Linked DNA regions of Rattus norvegicus. The protein of the gene in region 1 purifies or fractionates together with the protein of each later gene. This does not show direct contact. Links are inferred from orthologs where the notes say so. Each region holds a gene or a part of one and is shown in the gene's direction. Other genes may lie near its edges. The genes, in order: Xrn2 and Cdkn2aip.

The links.
Region 2: the proteins of Xrn2 (region 1) and Cdkn2aip purify together in Homo sapiens (affinity purification with mass spectrometry; 4 studies listed by BioGRID and IntAct, with this or other methods). This does not show direct contact. The link is inferred for Rattus norvegicus from reciprocal best matches to the Homo sapiens genes XRN2 and CDKN2AIP.

The regions. Positions count from the first base shown.
Region 1 is NC_086021.1:154,885,568-154,895,025, forward strand, and holds the start of Xrn2 (5'-3' exoribonuclease 2), read left to right. Parts: upstream 1-4,793; 5' UTR 4,794-4,838; coding exon 4,839-4,913; intron 4,914-9,458. UniProt on the Homo sapiens protein: Possesses 5'->3' exoribonuclease activity. May promote the termination of transcription by RNA polymerase II.
Region 2 is NC_086034.1:51,264,701-51,274,158, forward strand, and holds Cdkn2aip (CDKN2A-interacting protein), read left to right. Parts: upstream 1-4,231; 5' UTR 4,232-4,574; coding exon 4,575-4,825; intron 4,826-5,283; coding exon 5,284-5,414; intron 5,415-5,980; coding exon 5,981-7,311; 3' UTR 7,312-7,510; downstream 7,511-9,458. UniProt on the Homo sapiens protein: Regulates DNA damage response in a dose-dependent manner through a number of signaling pathways involved in cell proliferation, apoptosis and senescence.

The DNA.
Region 1 (9,458 bases):
CTGTGACATACTATAGCTTCCATAACAAGATGATGATTCTTCTTCTTCTTCTTCTTCTTCTTCTTCTTCTTCTTCTTCTTCTTCTTCTTCTTCTTCTTCTTCTTCTTCTTCTTCTTTGTAGAGGGCCACTATAACATTCGCCACCGCTAGATGGCGCTGGCTTCCACTGCGCCCCACGTGGAAGGCCAGGATAGCCTCCGCCATTACAAGATGGCGCCAGCCTTCGCCGTGCCAGCCGGCCCCTTTCAGGAAGTTAACTGTGCGCATGTGCAAGAGTGCCTTCGTGCCAGGTCTTTGCCCACTTCGGGGCGTGCCTTATGAGATCATGGGTAAACAACCAATCAGGTGTGGATGCGCCATGCTAGGGTGTATATAAGCGCGCCATGTTGGCGCGGCGAGGCTTCCTCTTTAAGATTATAATAAAGTTGGTCACAGTAAGGATTTCTATGTACCCGCGTGTTTCTTGCTGGCAAGAAGTCGCGCGTGGGACACTTTCCTTCTTCTTCTTCTTCTTCTTCTTCTCCTTCTTCTTCTTCTTCTTTTTTTTTTTTCAGAGCTGGGGACCGAACCCAGGGCCTTGCGCTTCCTAGGTAAGCGCTCTACCACTGAGCTAAATCCCCAGCCCCCTTCTTCTTCTTCTTCTTCTTCTTCTTCTTCTTCTTCTTCTTCTTCTTCTTCTTCTTCTTCTTCTTCTTCTTCTTCTTCTTCTTCTTCCCCTTCCCCTTCCCCTTCTTCCCCTTCCCCTTCTTCCCCTTCCCCTTCTTCCCCTTCCCCTTCTTCCCCTTCCCCTTCCCCTTCCCCTTCTTCCCCTTCCCCTTCCTCTTCCCCTTCCCCTTCCTCTTCCCCTTCTTCCCCTTCCCCTTCCCCTTCTTCCCCTTCCCCTTCCCCTTCCCCTTCTTCCCCTTCCCCTTCCCCTTCTTCTTCTTCTTCTTCTTCTTCTTCTTCTTCTTCTTCTTCTTCTTCTTCTTATTATTATTATTATTATTATTATTATTATTTTATTTTGGGGGAGGATGTTGCAAGGAAGGGTGGAGGGCAGATACTGCGGGATATGGAGATGAGTGGGCCTGAGATGCACCAAGTGAAATTTGTCCCATGGGTGGCAACCCAGACCATGGCAGTCAGCAAATGAATCAATAGCTTTTAAAAAGAGTTGTCTTGGGGGGGGGATTAAAAAAAATAAAAAAAAATAAAAAGAGTTGTCTTGTCTGGAAAGATGGCTCAGGGGTTAAGAGCACTGACTGTTCTTCCAAAGGTCCCGAGTTCAAATCCCAGCAACTACATGGTGATTCACAACCATCTGTAATGAAACCTAATGCTCTCTTCTGGTGTGTCTGAACACAGCTACAGTGTACTTATATATAATGAATAAATAAATCTTTAAAAAAAGAGTTGCCTTTATTGTCATATTATGAGAACTATATTTTCATGGCAGTTTAGTAACTTTTAGTTTTTAAAAAAAATCTAGATTTACATGGCATAAGGAAAAAATGAACACTGTTTTACATATTATCCTTTACAGGAATGTAATTCAGATGTCAGCGGAAAGCTTTCCTCTGGCCCATGAAATCTTGGTGAACATGTCTCCGACCCTCTGGCTTCTAAATCTGTAGAAGCCTATAGTCTGTTTCAATGTTTGTGTGCATTTCCAACACAAACTCTCATCACCTCTTCTGTTCTTGAGCTGTTCATTGCCCACACTTGTGATTCCAGACCACAGTGACTCAACACCAGACTCAGTCTCTTCTTTAATTTATACAAGACAAATTCAAGCTTGAATATTAAAAGACTTCCTAGGACACACTGGGTTGAAGAAAGTGTTACAAGGTTTAGTCCATACCCTCCTGCCACTGTCTGGGTTTCACCTTTTTATTTTTTAGATAAAACACCACGATCAAGGAAGTTTATAGAAGGGTTTATCTGAGCTTATGGTTCCAGAGGAAGAAGAATCCATCACCATCGAGATTGGGAAGCATGGCAGCAGGCAGCCATGACAGCTGGCACAGAAAGCTGAGAGCTCCTGCCTTAACCTGCAAGCAAGAAGCAGAGAGAGCAAACTGGGAATGGTGTCTGGCTTTTGAAACTCGCAAGGCCCGCTTCTAGTAACGCACTCATTCCAACAAGGTCAGACCTACCTCTCCAAAAATGGCCACCAACTGGGGACCAAGCACTCAAAATGCCTGAGACTGTGGGGGAACATCTCATACAAGCCACACTCATCAATCAAATTACAAGGAGAGGTTTTTAGCTCAAAACCCCCCTGGAATTAGACTTAGACCTGTTGAGGGATGATCGGCTTTTCCTCTCCTTCAGTGATGCAGATATGGGCCAGGTTAAACCGCATTCAAAGTAGCCAAAGGCAGGTTTATTAGGAGGCAGCTCTCAGCTTCACTGGTCTCATAGGTGGAGCTCAGTGAAGTCGAGCATCTATCTAGGCTAAAGCAAGGGGTTTTTTACGGGTCTTGGGCACTGGATAATGATGTGTGAACTAGGAGCTGCGATTGTGTCCACATTATAGTCAAAAACTGAGTCCCAGGGCAGGCCCTCTTGGGTGAGTTGTGGGAAACACGGAGAGAAGGGGAGGTGACCTGTTAGCCTAGAGTGCTTTCCAAGCAGGTGGGGGATTTTTCTGTGTGGGAGGGGCTAAAGATGGGGTAGGAGGGCAAATGGGGTTTCCCACCTTGAGCTGGGGATGAGCAGGATTTCCAAACGAACATCATAGAGTAGCATACGTTTCTGTATGTTTCCTTTGTTTTTTGGACCCAGGCTACCCTCCTCTTCAGTGCTAGGATTACTTGAGTATGCCTCTTTGTCAGACCAGGATGTTTTGATGCTTATTACCATATACAGCTTTTGACTTATTTTTTACATTTCAAAGTTCAAAACCATTTGTGATCAACTCTGGGGAACTCAATGTAGCAAGCTGCCTGCTCCTCCCCAACTGCCTATGAATTTGTGTTCACATAAGAACATAGCCCATTCCAGAGGACACAAACTCTTAAAGATTTATTTATTTTATGTGTATGAGTACACTATATCCATCTTCAGACACACCAGAAGAGGGCATCAGATCCCATTACAGATGGTTGTGAGCCACCATGTGGTTGCTGGGAATTGAACTCAGGACCTCTGGAAGAGCAGTCGGTGCTCTTAACCACTGAGCCATCTCTCCAGCCCTGGACCCAAACTCTTAAGAAGGAACTATTTCCAATTAAAATGGGAATTTTCATCATAGAAAAAATATTCTAGAACAAACACATATATATGCACATATATAACTATTCTTAAACATAGGCTAAGTTCCACAGTAGCATTCAAATGAAGTCATTAAACCATTGAGGGAGGGACAACATTTACTGCCTGACAGGTAGCAGAGAAACCCTTTACAGAGGCCTCTTAAGGTGAGCCTTTGTCATTGAGTGTGATTTGTCAGGCCAAGGGGGATTCAGGGAAGAGACTTTCAGGCTTGAGCAAATGGGCACGAATACCTCCTCTTTCAAGACTTTTTTTTCATAAGCTTCGGGTGGGGTGGGGGATAGACAGGGCACATTTGAAGCCACCAGAAAACAAGGGTTAAAAATACGTTGGTTTGAGAGCAGAGGATTAAATGATCCTTGCTTGAAGTGAAATACAAGCAGTATGAATAAGCAAGTGATTTAACTCTTTGACAACCTGACTTTATGTGTTATGCTTTACAAAAAAATGGTACAGCAAAACCACAGAATGGGTGGAGTTGTTACACTGTGCCCGACTCAGGCAAACAATCACTGCCTCAAGGCCCACAGAGAAACATGCTTCCACAAAACAGCCCCTTCCAGCTTTTACTTTCTTGCCTGCTGTATGCACTGAATCTAATAATTTTTTTTCCCCTCCCTGTTTGGAGAATTCTTTCACACTGGAGTCACCAGGATGACACAGCCAGCCAGCACAGACGGCTCAACTGGTGATAAGATAATTCTTTAGTTCCTTGCCTTAGCACATCATAGGTACTCAACAAATGCTAGAACGTGATATTGGGAAATGTTGATACACTGAGCATAGCAACAAGGTTGTTTAACACCAAATTCTAGCTAGATTCTGCAACTATTTAAAGTGACTCGTCGGGTTGAGAGATGGTTTAGCAGTAAAGCGTTCATGCTGCTTTTCCAAAGGAGTAGAGTTTGACTTCTGGCAGTCACAGCAGGCAGATGACAGCTCCAGGGGATCTGATGCCTCTGGCCTCCATAGGTACCATCACTCGTTCACATAACCACATGTAGATATACACACATTCACATAATTAAAAATAAATCTTAAACGTATTTTGAAAAGTTGCTTATGCAAAAGCAGATTTTAAAAAAATTTGTAGGACACTTTATGATGCTTTTTCATAGTTCTGCCAGGCACAGTTGCATTTTAAAAAAAAATGAGAGAAACCAGGAAATGGAAACTAGAGTGTAGATGGTTCTATTCAGCCCAAGACTGATTGTGAGAAAGGAAGTCAGATAGGCCACGCCTTTGCAAAGCCTGACCACACCAGCAAGGAACTGCTGCCGCGGGCCTACTGTGGCCCGTGCTCTGAGGACTACTGCGGGCGAAGGCGTCAGCCCGGAGTCCAGCTCTCAAAGGCTTTAGGTCTCACCACCTACAGCCCGTCCAAACCGGCCACCGCTTGTGCAGTTCAAACGAACTCTCACTTAACCGAGCTCCTTTCCCTGCTTCCCTCGCGGTGGTGGAATGACGTAACTTCCGGTCGCTGGACGCACGTGGGAGGAAGTGCCCTCGGCTGGCCGCTCCCGCCAGTCTCGTTGGTTACACTCTCCCGCTGCCCGGCTGCTGCTTCGAGCTGCCCGCTGGTCATGGGAGTCCCGGCGTTCTTCCGCTGGCTCAGCCGCAAGTACCCGTCCATCATTGTCAATTGCGTGGAGGAGAAGGTGAGGAGGCGGCCAGTACGCCGGAGTGGGGACCCAGCGCGACACGTCTAGGCCGCGGCCCTCGGGAACAGGCGCCCGCCCCAGGGAGCCTCGCGGGCCGCTTCGCGGGTTCGCGGTTCCGGAGGCGCTCTGAGCGAAGCAAGGGGGAGTAGGGGTCTGTAGGGGCTTGGACGGCTCCTCCCCCGACTGCCAAGCCGGGTACCCCAGACTCCGCCCACGGCTTTGTTTCCTCGGCTGCCCGCGCCGCTCAGAGTTCGAAAGGGCGCCCTGTCTGGTCAGCCCCCTAACGCGGGCAGCAGGGTTGGCTGGGTAGGGACCGCTGCCTGGTCCACTTTGTTGAGCCCGGCATTCCCGGTGGTCGGATCGCTTGTTTTCCACCGGAGACTGGCCATTTGTTGCAGTTAACCGTGCTAGTTACGAAGGACTAGGATGGAGGAGCGGTCTGTCTCCCCGCGGGGGCTTCGCTGTCTTAAGACTGCCGGGCAGCTCGCTGTTTTCACTTCCTGTCTTCTCGAGTGGTGTTAGTTTGCTACTTCACAGGCAGACTTATAGCTGTTCCGATTCGTGAGTTTTGCTTTTGTCGTTCGCGTAATTCTGTCCGAGTTCGACTTTGTACTCTCAATTAGAATTTCTGGATTGGAAAAGTTCCGGGCACATGTGTCCCCTCCCACTTTCGTCTTTAGAACCGCCTCCTTCCAAGAACCTATTTCTCCTGCTTAAGTTATTTACTTTCTTACTTCGTGTCTTAGAAGAAACCAAAAGCTTTGTTTTGGTGACATTCCTAGTATTTTTTTCTGTTCTCAAAAGACAAATTGCTAAGCTGAATTATTATTTCCTTTGTAAAACTTTGCCTTCCCCTGGGAGGACGTTCCAAAGGGAAAGCCACAGTTGTTCTTCCGTTCTTTTCCGTCCAGTCTTCTCTCTCGAAAGACAGACGCTTTGGACTGTTTTGGCACTGTCTCTGAATATGGTTGTTTGATTTATCTGTTTTAGGTCTATATAATTTTGGGTAGAAGAGGAATTAGCTATTTATTCACCACCACCCGTTTTTCTAATGCTAATTCTTGTATCTGATGGTAAATTTTGTAATTTAATGGAGAACTGGTTTAAACGTATATCGGGTCAAGGCATGGCATATACATTTAGTCCCAGCACTTGGGAGAGAGGTAGGCTTGAGTTATGGAGTTCAGCCCGATCTACACAGAGTTCAAAGCAAATTAAGGCTTATATAGTGAGACCCTCTCGCAAAACAAAAATTCTATCGCCAAACGAAGTATCATTTTCTACTTTCTAAGACTGATGTTAGCTTCCCCACCCCCACCCCCCAACTCTAGCTGTCTTAATTCTTTGGTCCCCTGTACTTTTTAGTTCTCGTTCAAGATTGTCAAACCTTTGACCATACAAGCTGCGAGAGAAGTGGTGTTGTTGGCTGTTTTATACTGTGATTGTAGTTTGAGGTTGCTTATCTTTTACTAAAGCTAGCTCCTCCCTTACCCTGTCCCTCTCACCCTTAGTTTGGGTACACTTTATACCTCATCTAAATTATTTTATCAGGCATTCTGTCAAGTCCTTTTTTTTTTTTTTCCATTGCGCCTCTTTTAAGTATTAATTTTTCCTTTGGAGATACAAATTCCAGACGCTCACACACAGGCAATCTCCTGTGTACTGACATTCCCAGCTTGGAGTTGTCTTTACAGCTATTTTCTTCCCAGCACTTTTTTTCAATATGCTTCCTGGAAAGATGCTTCCCGAGAATTACAGTTTGCAGAATAGCCCATCTCTCTTGGCTTAAAGCTATCTTTGGTTTTTATTTTTGAATTGACTTTTTAGGAAATGCCACTGTGTGATCTGAAATACCTTTATTTTCTCCGAGTGATTATGACTCCAAGTTGGAAAACCAGTTCCCATGAAGATGTTAGAAACACTCTTTCTAGCTGTTATTGTTGATGAAAATTTAAACATTTTCTTTTAAGACAAGGTCTCACTATGTAGTTCTGTTAGGCCTGAAACTCAGATTTGCCTGCCTCTACCTCCCCAGTGCTGGAATTTAAAGCCGCTTGCTGGCTGCTAGGTCTGGCAGGGTTTTGTGGTATGTATTTCCCAGATTTTGGTACCATTTACCATGCACCAGACTCTGTTCTGAGCACTGGATCGATACTAGGTTGTTAGGTGCCTGTTATGGAGAAGGAAATCAAAAGGGGAAGATTCTTTTCAATTACTTTTCCAATTTTTGAAAAATTTCAATATTTCTGAGTTACTTATTCAGCTAATATCATACCAATATGAAAGCTGGGAAGGCCTTGTGTCTAACTTATGACCCTCCCCTTTCATTCTTAAGAACTGGTCAGTTTGTGTGTGCATGTATTAGTTGTTCACAGTGTTTTCATTGTGCCATTTGTATACATTTACACAATATGTTTAGATCCCATCCACCCTTTTACATCCTTCTTTCTTAGGTGTCCCCATACTATCCCTGTGCGGGCCCCCCCCCCCCCAATCCCTTACTTCCCTACCTTCATTGACTTCTGTCTCTGTGTGAGCAATTAGTGTCCTTTAGAAGAATATGGGTGAGAGTGAGCTTTCTCGAGCCTACTCCCCACCCCACCCCCCAGTTATCTTTCCCCTCCCCCTCTCCTCTTCTATTCAACAGGGTTTCTCCATGTAGCCCTGGCTGTCCTGGAACTTGCTCTGTCGACCAGGATGGCCTTAAACTCAGAGTTCTATCTGCCTCTACCTACTGAGTGCTAGGATTAAAGGTGTGCACCACCACCTGGTGAAAGTTTTTGAGTATGTATATATGTACACAGACACAAGTGTACCTGCTCCCAGGACAGAGCAGAGAGACAGTGACATGTCTTAGCATGTGTATGGAGGTCAAAGAACAACTTCGTGAAATCAGTTCTTTACTTCTAAGCAAGCACCTTTACCCAGTTGAACTTCGGGTTGGCCTCTATGCTATTTATTCTTCCTAGTTCATTGACTTTCATGTTCCGTAGTTAGATTTTGAGCTTAATTGATATGCATTAACCATCTCTTTCATTTTTGAAACATAGTCCAGGTTGTCCAGGAACTCATAATCCTACTGGGTGCTGGGATTGTAGGCATGCACAATCATATAGGCACAGCTAGATCATATCATATGGTAATTCTACCTTTCTGCCTTTTTCTTCCTTTTCTCTTTTTCATAATGGCTGCCATCACACACTTTGCTTCTAGCAGTGTGTGTCAGCACTCCCCAGTATCTGTGCCAGCATATGATGCTTGATTTCATGTGATAGTCATTTTCACTGGGGTGAAATCTCATTGTAGTTTTGATTTGCATTTCTTGATGACTAAGGGTTTTTCTTTGTATTATTGGCCACTTTATCTTTTAAAAGGTATTATTTCACTTATTTATTTATTGGATTATGTGTGTATCAGATAACTAACTGGCAGGAATGTTTCATTCTGTATGCTCTCACTACCAATTGTTTGCTTTTTTTTAATGCAGAGACTTAATTTCATGGAATCTCACTTGTTAATTTTTTTCTTTAAAATTTATTTTTATTCATGTGTGTGTATGAGTGCCTTCTGAGGCCACAAGAGGGTGTTGGATTTCCCCCTAGAGATGGAGTTGGGGCAAATGTGACCCCCCCCATGTTGGTGCTGGGAACCAAACTTTCTTCCTCTAGAAGAGCAACAAGTGCTCTCAACCACGTTGCCTTCTTTTCACCCTCTCATTTGTCTTTCTTCCTGGAAATTTCCTGGACAATTAGAGTCCTTGCTTGTGCTTTATCTTAAAGTGTTTTCCTTATATTTTCTTCTGGTAGTTGCAGAGTTTCAGGTCTAATACTTAAATCTTTGATCTATTTTGAATTTATGTTGTAATGAACAAGAGCTAGAACTCTAGTTTGAGTCCTTTGCCTGTGAACACTCAGTTCTGCAGCATTGTTTCTTGAAAAGTCTGGCATGTTTTTAGCACTTTTCCCAAATCCGTGATGGCTGTTGCTATTTATTTCTGGGTCCTCTTTCATTTCTTTTTTAACATGTTTGTTTTTGGGGTCCATAACTTTGCTGATTTTATTACCACGGCTCTGTTGTGTAATTTGAGATGGAGAATACTGACACCTCTAGTGTTTTTCTTTATGCTCAGTATTACTTTGGCTTCTTGTGTTCCCATGTGAATATTTTTTTTTCCTGTAGAGGTTGTCATTGAAACTTTGATAATAGATTACATGGAATCTGTAGATTGCTTTTGGGCTGTTCCAAAGCATGGGAGATTTTAGTCTTCTAGTATCTGCATCAATTTCTTCAGTGTTGCATTATCTTTTATTTTGGGATTATATGCATAGTGCATGCACATGGGTATGTGGTTGCTTGTGCATGAAGAGGACATAGGACATTGAGTATCTTCCTCTTTTACTTTCCACCTTATATTCTCTCTCTCTCTCTCTCTCTCTCTCTCTCTCTCTCTCTCTCTCTCTCTCTTTTTCCGGAGCTGGGACCGAACCCAGGGCCTTGTGCTTGCTAGGCAAGCGCTCTACCACTGAGCTAAATCCCCAACCC
Region 2 (9,458 bases), on another chromosome or scaffold:
TGAAGCTAGTCAGAAGGAAGACACAGGGCAGCAAGAGAAAAATATCTTGTTTTGAAAATTTACCAGTGTCACCAGATATGGTGACACATGCCTTTAATTCTAGCACTTGGAGAGGCAGATGCAGGCAGATCATGTGAGCTGGAGACCAGCCTGGTCTACAAAGCAAGTCCAGGACATCGAGGGCTCAGTTACACTGAGAAATCTGTCACAAATAAACAATTTACCAATGTCACCTAGCTATGAAATCATATTTTCTTCTGAACCCCTTGCCAAATGCTTCTATAGCCTTTACATTTCAGGTCTTAACTATAAAAGGAATAGGAGAGCAAGATTGAAGCTTCCAAAAAACGGTTTTTGGCCTGCTGTTGTAGCCTCTTCTGGTATGGCAAGGAAGGCAGTGTTTTCATGAAGCTGGTTCTTATTGCTCCAGCATGTATATAAATTTTAAAAGACAGCATTTCTGCTTATTCAGTGTCATCTAACATTGTAACTGCCTGGTAGAAAAAGAAATTTTTTTAAAGTGTTTTGTTTTTTGTTTTTTTTTTTTTTTCCAGACAGGCTTTCTCTGTGTAGCCCTGGCTGTTCCTGTTCACTTTGTTAACCAGGCTGGCCTCAAGCTCATAGATCTTGGCTTGGGGTGACTGGCTGGGCTGAAATGAAGGTAATTTAAAAGGCTCCTGCTTCTTACTCTCTTTTTTTTTTTTTTTTTTTTTTTTTTTTTCGGAGCTGGGGACCGAACCCAGGGCCTTGCGCTTCCTAGGTAAGCGCTCTACCACTGAGCTAAATCCCCAGCCCCTCTTACTCTCTTATTAGACTATTCAAACAATGGACCCTTAAAAAATGAGAATTTCCCCCCAAAATCTTAGAAGTAAAAGGCTCCAGCTAATGGGACTTTGTCTTCTTGAAAAAGATTTCAAGTTCTGACCACAGTTTAGCCACCTCGCCTCGGAGACTCAGGCCTGGACAATGCCGCTGTTTGATGACTCATATCTTTTTTTTTTTTTTTTTTTTTTTTTTTTCTTATTCTTTGGTGATTTATTTTCTTTTTTTTTTTTTTTTTTTTTTTTTTTTTTTTTTTTATTAACTTGAGTATTTCTTATATACATTTCGAGTGTTATTCCCTTTCCCGGTTTCCGGGCAAACATCCCCCTCCCCCCTCCCCTTCCTTATGGGTGTTCCCCTCCCAACCCTCCCCCCATTGCCGCCCTCCCCCCATAGACTAGTTCACTGTGGGTTCAGTCTTAGCAGGACCCAGGGCTTCCCCTTCCACTGGTGCTCTTACTAGGATATTCATTGCTACCTATGGGGTCAGAGTCCAGGGTCAGTCCATGTATAGTCTTTAGGTAGTGGCTTAGTCCCTGGAAGCTCTGGTTGCTTGGCATTGTTGTACTTTTGGGGTCTCGAGCCCCTTCAAGCTCTTCCAGTTCTTTCTCTGATTCCTTCAATAGGGGACCTATTCTCAGTTCAGTGGTTTGCTGCTGGCATTCGCCTCTATATTTGCTGTATTCTGGCTGTGTCTCTCAGGAGCGATCTACATCCGGCTCCTGTCGGTCTGCACTTCTTTGCTTCATCCATCTTGTCTAATTGGGTGGCTGTATATGTATGGGCCACATGTGGGGCAGGCTCTGAATGGGTGTTCCTTCAGTCTCTGTTTTAATCTTTGCCTCTCCCTTCCCTGCCAAGGGTATTCTTTTTCCTCATTTAAAGAAGGAGTGAAGCATTCACATTTTGATCATCCGTCTTGAGTTTCGTTTGTTCTAGGGATCTAGGGTAATTCAAGCATTTGGGCTAATAGCCACTTATCAATGAGTGCATACCATGTATGTCTTTCTGTGATTGGGTTAGCTCACTCAGGATGATATTTTCCAGTTCCAACCATTTGCCTATGAATTTCATAAACTCGTTGTTTTTGATAGCTGAGTAATATTCCATTGTGTAGATGTACCACATTTTCTGTATCCATTCCTCTGTTGAAGGGCATCTGGGTTCTTTCCAGCTTCTGGCTATTATAAATAAGGCTGCGATGAACATAGTGGAGCACGTGTCTCTTTTATATGTTGAGGCATCTTTTGGGTATATGCCCAAGAGAGGTATAGCTGGATCATCAGGCAGTTCAATGTCCAATTTTCTGAGGAACCTCCAGACTGATTTCCAGAATGGTTTTACCAGTCTGCAACCCCACCAACAATGGAGGAGTGTTCCTCTTTCTCCACATCCTCGCCAGCATCTGCTGTCACCTGAGTTTTTGATCTTAGCCAATCGCACTGGTGTGAGGTGAAATCTCAGGGTTGTTTTGATTTGCATTTCCCTTATGACTAAAGATGTTGAACATTTCTTTAGGTGTTTCTCAGCCATTCGGCATTCCTCAGCTGTGAATTCTTTGTTTAGCTCTGAACCCCATTTTTTAATAGGGTTATTTGTTTCCCTGCGGTCTAACTTCTTGAGTTCTTTGTATATTTTGGAAATAAGGCCTCTATCTGTTGTAGGATTGGTAAAGATCTTTTCCCAATCTGTTGGTTGCCGTTTTGTCCTAACCACAGTGTCCTTTGCCTTACAGAAGCTTTGCAGTTTTATGAGATCCCATTTGTGATGACTCATATCTTAAATGTCCACATCCCTAGCCTTTTATTTAAACGTGAATCTCATTTCAGGGTCTGAAAGACTCACTTGGGGTCGGGTGGGTGTCAGTATCCATCTCCCTCATTTCTCTCTCTCTCTCTCTCTCTCTCTCTCTCTCTCTCTCTGTTTTTCTCTCTCATCCTCTTTCCTACTCTCCTCTCCCCTCCCCCTTCTCCTCCTGTCTCCACACCCCCCCTTCCTCTCCTCTCTTCATCTAGCGGGAGGGGGCAGGGTTTGGAAAACGGTTTCTTAGTGTAGTCCTGGAACTAGCTCTGTAGACCAAGCTGGCCTCAACTCAGAGATCCGCCTGCCTCTGCTCCAGAGTGCACACTGCAGCCGTCTTTGTCTCCCCTTGCCTGTGTGGTCTCTTTAAAGGTCTTTACCTGCTTCCCACTAATGTGAATCTTCTAATTGGCTAATTGAAGCAGAATCGTGTTAGGGCACAGGCTTATAACTGTCAAAGTTTAGTAACAAAATGACTTAATTTTTTTCCTTAATCATTCTGTTTTTTTTGTTTTTTTGTTTTTTTTTTTCGGAGCTGGGGACCGAACCCAGGGCCTTGCGCTTCCTAGGCAAGCGCTCTACCACTGAGCTAAATCCCCAACCCCAATCATTCTGATTTAAGCATTCTCACAACAGAAACGCAAACATCTATTGGAGGAAAATTCAATCACATAATTTATCACTATTCATATTATTACACTCATGCTTTGATTTCACTAATATTATACATATAACTAAACTTGGAAATGTTAATAAACACACCAGCAACTAAAAAACCACGGGTTGGAGAGTTGGCTCCGCCGTACCCGCAGATCTTCAAGAAGACCTGGGTTCAATTCCCAGAACCCACACGGCGCTCAAAATCCCGCATCACTTCAACTCCAGATCCATAGCCCTCTTGCGTCCAAGGGCATCAGACATGTACATAAAGCACAGGCAGACATGCAAGCAAAAACATGGAACACATAAAAGTGCAAAAGCACAGTTGCTCTTGAGGGAAGAGGCCGGGCAGACGAGATAAGCAGATACATTTCCACTTTGGTCCTACCGGCGTTAACAGCTAAAAGCAGTTGACATAGGGTTGTTTATAGCTTGAGGACCAAAAACGTTAGGGGAGAGGAAGCAGGTATTGTCTGGGTTGAACCAGGAACCTAAGAAACCGCGGAAACCAAGCCAGATCGTGCGGCGCAGGCGCAAAGGTCGTCTGGCTTTAAATAAACTGGAGGAGTAGCTTGTGCTTGCCGGTTAAGTTACATTCGTGCTTAGTACTTTTATTGCCCCTGCCGCTCAAGACATCCATCCCCACGTCCCCAAACGCCCCGAGACTTTCCTGGCCTCGGGACACTGGGTTTACTTCCCCCGGTACACAGCAGCTCTTGAGGCAGGGCGGCCATGGAAGCCAGCTTTTGTTTATTTTGGCCGCGCGCGACTGCGAGTGTCCGAGGGCGGAGACGCGCAGGCGGAGCGGCGACTCCCGCGACGCCAGGTCTCCGCGTTCCGCCCGCGGTCGCCAAGCCCGGGGGCGGAAACAGAGCCCGGCGTCACAAAGCGCCGCCGGAACGCTGAGGCTGCCGCACTGGCGCCGCGCGCCCTCTCAGGGCGGGAGGCACGCCTGCCCCTCAGTCGCCTCGGCTCCGCCTCAGCCGGGCGCGCCCTCCGACCGAGGTGGGCGCAACCGCTGAGTCGCCGGCGGCTGGGCGCTGCAAAGCATCCTGGGAGAACGCGCTCGCGCCGGAAGGGCGCGCGAGTGCGCGGCGGCAGCGAGGTTATAAAAGGGAGCGAGCCAGCGGCAGGCGGAAGTGGGCGGTTCGTCGGCGCCTTGTTCTGTTGTTTGGTGTTTGGGCTTCTGGAGGGGCGTTCTCGGGAGGGCCGCCGGTGCAGGCCGCGCTGACAGGGCCGCTCGCCGCTCCGCCCTGTGCGCTCGCGCTCTCCTCGTCTCGCAGGGTCCCAACATGGCGCAGGAGGTATCCGAGTACCTGAGCCAGAACCCGCGAGTAGCCGCCTGGGTGGAGACCCTTCGCTGCGAGGGCGAGACGGACAAACACTGGCGCCACCGCCGGGAGTTTCTGCTTCGCAATGCCGGGGACCTGGTCCCCGCGACCGAGGAGACTGCGGACGCGGAAAGCGGAGCCCGCAGTCGGCAGCTACAGCAGCTCGTCTCCTTCTCCATGGCCTGGGCAAACCATGTCTTCCTAGGGTGCCGGTGAGTGGGAGCGTCGCTATCCAGCCTTCCGGGCTTCGTCCGCGCCCCCTGTCGCTGGGCGAGGCGCGCTCGCGGGGACCAGAGTCGCTAGGGAGGGCCGCTTTGGAAGCGCGGGAATCGGTGGCACTGTCGGTCCTCGGAAGGCAAGAGGGGCGACCGTGGCAGCCTCGACCTCACTGTTGGCCGGTGTCCGGGTTGTTTGCGCCCGGCAGATGGAGTTGTTGCCGCATAGCTGACGGTTCTCGGCCAGGGAGACCGAGTTTAAAGGTTCCCTGGCACAGACCCGCCTCCCGAGCCCTAGGACATTTGTCCCTGGCATCTCGGGAAACAAAAGTTGTCTCGCGGTTCGTACACTTTGATCGCGACCAGGAAATGCAGTCTCCGCGGGCCTGCATTCCTCACACTGCCAGTACTTTTCGAAAAACACTTCTTGAGAGCGACTTTTGCTTCTTTTTCAGGTACCCTCAAAAAGTTATGGATAAAATTCTTAGTATGGCTGAAGGCATCAAAGTGACAGATGCTCCAATCCATACCACACGAGACGAACTGGTTGCCAAGGTGAAGAAAAGAGGGATATCGAGTAGCAATGGTTAGCAGATCATAGATGTGAACATACATAGGAGTTTAGAAAATAAGCTTGATAAAATTAGGAATTATTGTCATTACTAATTTCTTTTTAACAATCCAGAGTGTGTATGCTGTATTAATCTAGCTGAAATGTTAAAGGTAAACTGTGTTTCTGTCTGTCTTAGGTGCTGAATTTGATAATTTACTTTAACTGTTTTAGATGTTCAAGTCTGATGTCTGATGCTCTTAATTTAATATTAGAAATTAATATTAACAATACCTGTTTTAATACATTAATGAAGTTGTTCCATACTTTAAGAAAAACTACTTTCTGAAATTATTTTGTGCTTTTGTTGTTGTTGTTGTTTGCTTGTTTTTGTTTTGTTTTGATAGGGTTTCTCTGTGTAGCCCAGCCTATCCTGGAACTTGCTCTGTAGACCAGGCTGGCCTCAAATTCGGGGTTCTTGCATGCCAGGATTAAAGGCATGTGCTGCCACCCTGCTCTCTGTGCTTTTTAAATGAATGTTTTGTTGATCGACATGTCTGTGGGGACTCCTAGTAAAATACCTGTGTTTCTCTTCTTTCTAGAAGGGGTAGAAGAGCCATCCAAAAAACGATCCATAGAAGGAAAAAACAATTCTTCAGTTGAGCGAGATCATGGGAAAAAATCTGCCAAAACAGATCGTTCAGCTCAGCAAGAAAACAGTTCAGGATCCAAGGGGTCGTCCACCAAATCAGAGAGTAGTGGGACCTCAGCTCGGAGCAACTCTGGTGTCTCCCATCAGAATAGTTCCACAAGTGAAGGCGATAGATCTGTTTGCAGCCAAAGCAGCAGCAATTCCTCTCAGGTAACATCAGCAGGGTCTGGAAAAGCTTCTGAGCCAGAAGCTCCAGATAAACATGGTTCAGCATCCTTTGTTTCTTCACTGTTAAAATCCAGTCTGAATAGTCATGTGACGAAATCCACTGATTCCAGACAGCATAGTGGATCACCTAGAAAGAATGCTTTGGAAGGTTCTTCAGTTTCAGTTTCTCAGAGCAGCTCAGAGATTGAGGTGCCCTTGTTGGGTTCCTCCGGAAGCTCAGAAGTAGAGTTGCCATTACTGTCTTGTAAGTCTAGTTCAGAGACAGCTTCGAGTGGGTTAACAACCAAAGCTAGTTCAGAGGCAAACATTTCATCATCAGTTTCTAAAAACAGTTCCTCATCAGGCACCTCTTTACTAATGCCCAAGAGCAGTTCAACAAATACATCACTACTGACTTCTCAGGTAGCTGCATCACTGTTAGCTTCCAAAAGCAGCTCCCAGAGCAGTGGATCTGTGGCTTCCAAAAGCACTTCCTTAGGAAGCATGTCTCAGCTAGCTTCTAAGAGTAGTTCTCAGAGTAGCACTTCACAGTTGCCTTCTAAAAGTACCTCACAGTCCAGTGAGAGTTCTGTCAAATTCACTTGTCGGAAGTTAACCAATGAAGACATAAAGCAGAAGCAGCCTTTCTTCAATAGACTGTATAAGACAGTGGCGTGGAAGTTGGTAGCAGTTGGTGGCTTTAGCCCCAATGTGAATCATGGCGAGCTGCTAAATGCAGCTATTGAGGCTCTGAAAGCAACACTAGATGTGTTTTTTGTCCCACTGAAAGAACTGGCAGATCTGCCTCAAAATAAGAGCTCTCAAGAAAGTATTGTATGTGAATTGAGGTGTAAATCGGTGTATTTGGGCACTGGCTGTGGGAAAAGCAAAGAAAATGCAAAAGCAGTCGCATCAAGAGAGGCACTTAAGTTATTTCTCAAGAAGAAGGTGGTGGTAAAGATCTGTAAAAGGAAGTACAGAGGCAATGAGATAGAAGATCTAGTACTCCTCGATGAAGAATCAAGACCTGTAAACTTACCTCCAGCACTGAAACATCCTCAAGAATTACTGTGATTCCCCAAGGTATCACTGCATCCAGTACCTGGGGTTTGAAGAGAAAAACTGGCTTTTATATGAAACACTGGCTTTCACAGATTTTATATTGCTTTTTTCCAGTTTTGCAGAAAATTTAAATTCTAGTTCTCTTCATTAAAGTAGAGCTGTAAATAATTTATGAATGACAGTGCATATTAAAGGGTATACACTGACAGCATACCAGTGTGCTGTTTTATTTGCTGAGGAAAATACTGTCTTCTATTTTTAATGATATATTAGGTACGATGTGTAGTTCTGTAGAATCTTAAAATTTTTGTACTACTACCAATTTGGTAGAAATGTATTAAGTTGTCTACCATGCTTTTTTTTCTAACTTGATTAAATCATATAAAAGAAAGGGGACCACAGTATTTGAATGTGTGAAAAATATACAACTTAAGGTTTTAAGAATGTTACTCATAATGTTGAACATCTCTTAAAGAATAAGAGTAATTGTCTCAAACTATTTTCATGAGAAGATGCTGTAAACTTTTTTTTTTTAGATATAAAGCAGTATAAAGTACTTATTGTTATTTTATTCTGAAATTGTTTAAAATTCACCATGATTTTGACCGCTGCAGATTCTTGAGCAGGTTAATTTATGTTTTGAGGTAAAAAGCAATTTACACTTTCTTAAAACATAATGTTGATTTCTATATTAAGCATATTTTGTGACTACTATGAACAGACTGATTTGTTTAGATATTAAATGCTTTAAGCTATTTTACCTTTTCAAGAGGTTGTGTTTTTTTTTTCCCACCCTGAAGTCATAACTAAGTCTTGTAAGTTGGCTCCTCACTACTATTCAAAGTAAACTACAACCAAGTAGTTTTCATAGTATATAATATACATTTTTATAAATAGGGAAGTTAAAGTTTATATCTAGAACCAGGTGGTTTTTGTATTTGCAGATTTCAGAAGAATGTGGAGAAGACTAGAGAGCCATGGTCAGTTCTTTAATGATTGTGTATTCGTGTGGACTGCATCTGTTAGTAATGAAGTAAAATCTGTATCTTAGGTGACTCTTAATTAAAAGTCTGGTCTAAGGTATATGACTTCGGGCCTTCTGGCTTTCTAGGAGCTGCACACCAAACAGTAATGGAGATAGTATGCAGTAAAAAGACCTCATTCACTAGTTGTATTGGTATTGGAAGGTTGGACATAAGCACAGTTTAAGTGTATAAAAATTATTTTGTAGTTTAAGAATAATAAAGATGTTTAGTTTCCTGAGCTTGAACTGAAATAATCAGGGATGTTTGTAATTTGCCAGATGACATTTTTAAATTATTTGTTTTTGAGAATGGTTCATTGGATACCAGAGCAAAATCTATATTCTGTAAATGGGCTACCTTTATATATTGTGGAAAGCAATAATATAAGTGAGTTGTAAACTTTGTAAACTAATGCTTACAAAAAAGTGAGCCAAAAAGTAGAATAAATAAATTTCTGAAATACATCATACTAGATGATTTGGTAATTTCCTAAAATGGTTTGTTTTAAGCAAATTCTTTAAATAATAGTAATCTTTTGATGTGGAGGAGTGCGTGCACTCATAGACATATAATTTCAACTTCTTGAGAGGCCAAGTCAAGAAGAGCTGAGGACTTTGAGTGTTTGACTATAGAGCAGTTTGAGAAAAGTAAACAGGTTCTGAGCTATAAGTCTTATGACAGTGGTGGGGCATGTCTTTAATCCCAACACTCAGAAGGCAGAAGCAGGCAGATCTCTGAGGAACCCTGCCAAGAAAAGGGTAGGTGATAGAGTGCTTACTTAGCATACAGGGCCCTAAGTTGAATTTCCAGTACCTTCCATAAAACAAAAATAAATGAAAACTGATGATCTATGTTCTTGGTGTTTGAGAGATAGGGTGTTATATGGTTCTGGCTGGTCTTGAACTTGGAAAGTAGCGTTGCGTTCCTTTCTCTGTTTCATGTTGGGGTTACAGCTGTTTGACCACTCCTATGGTTATAGTGTTTATTTGTACAACATGCTCTTAATAAAAATTTAAAGATCCCCGTGGCTAGGAGTTGGCTCAGTGAGTTGAGTATTTGTTGCTTCCATGTAAACGCTGGGCAACAATGATGGCCCATCTGTAATTGCCGCACTGGGAAAACAGGTGGAATCAG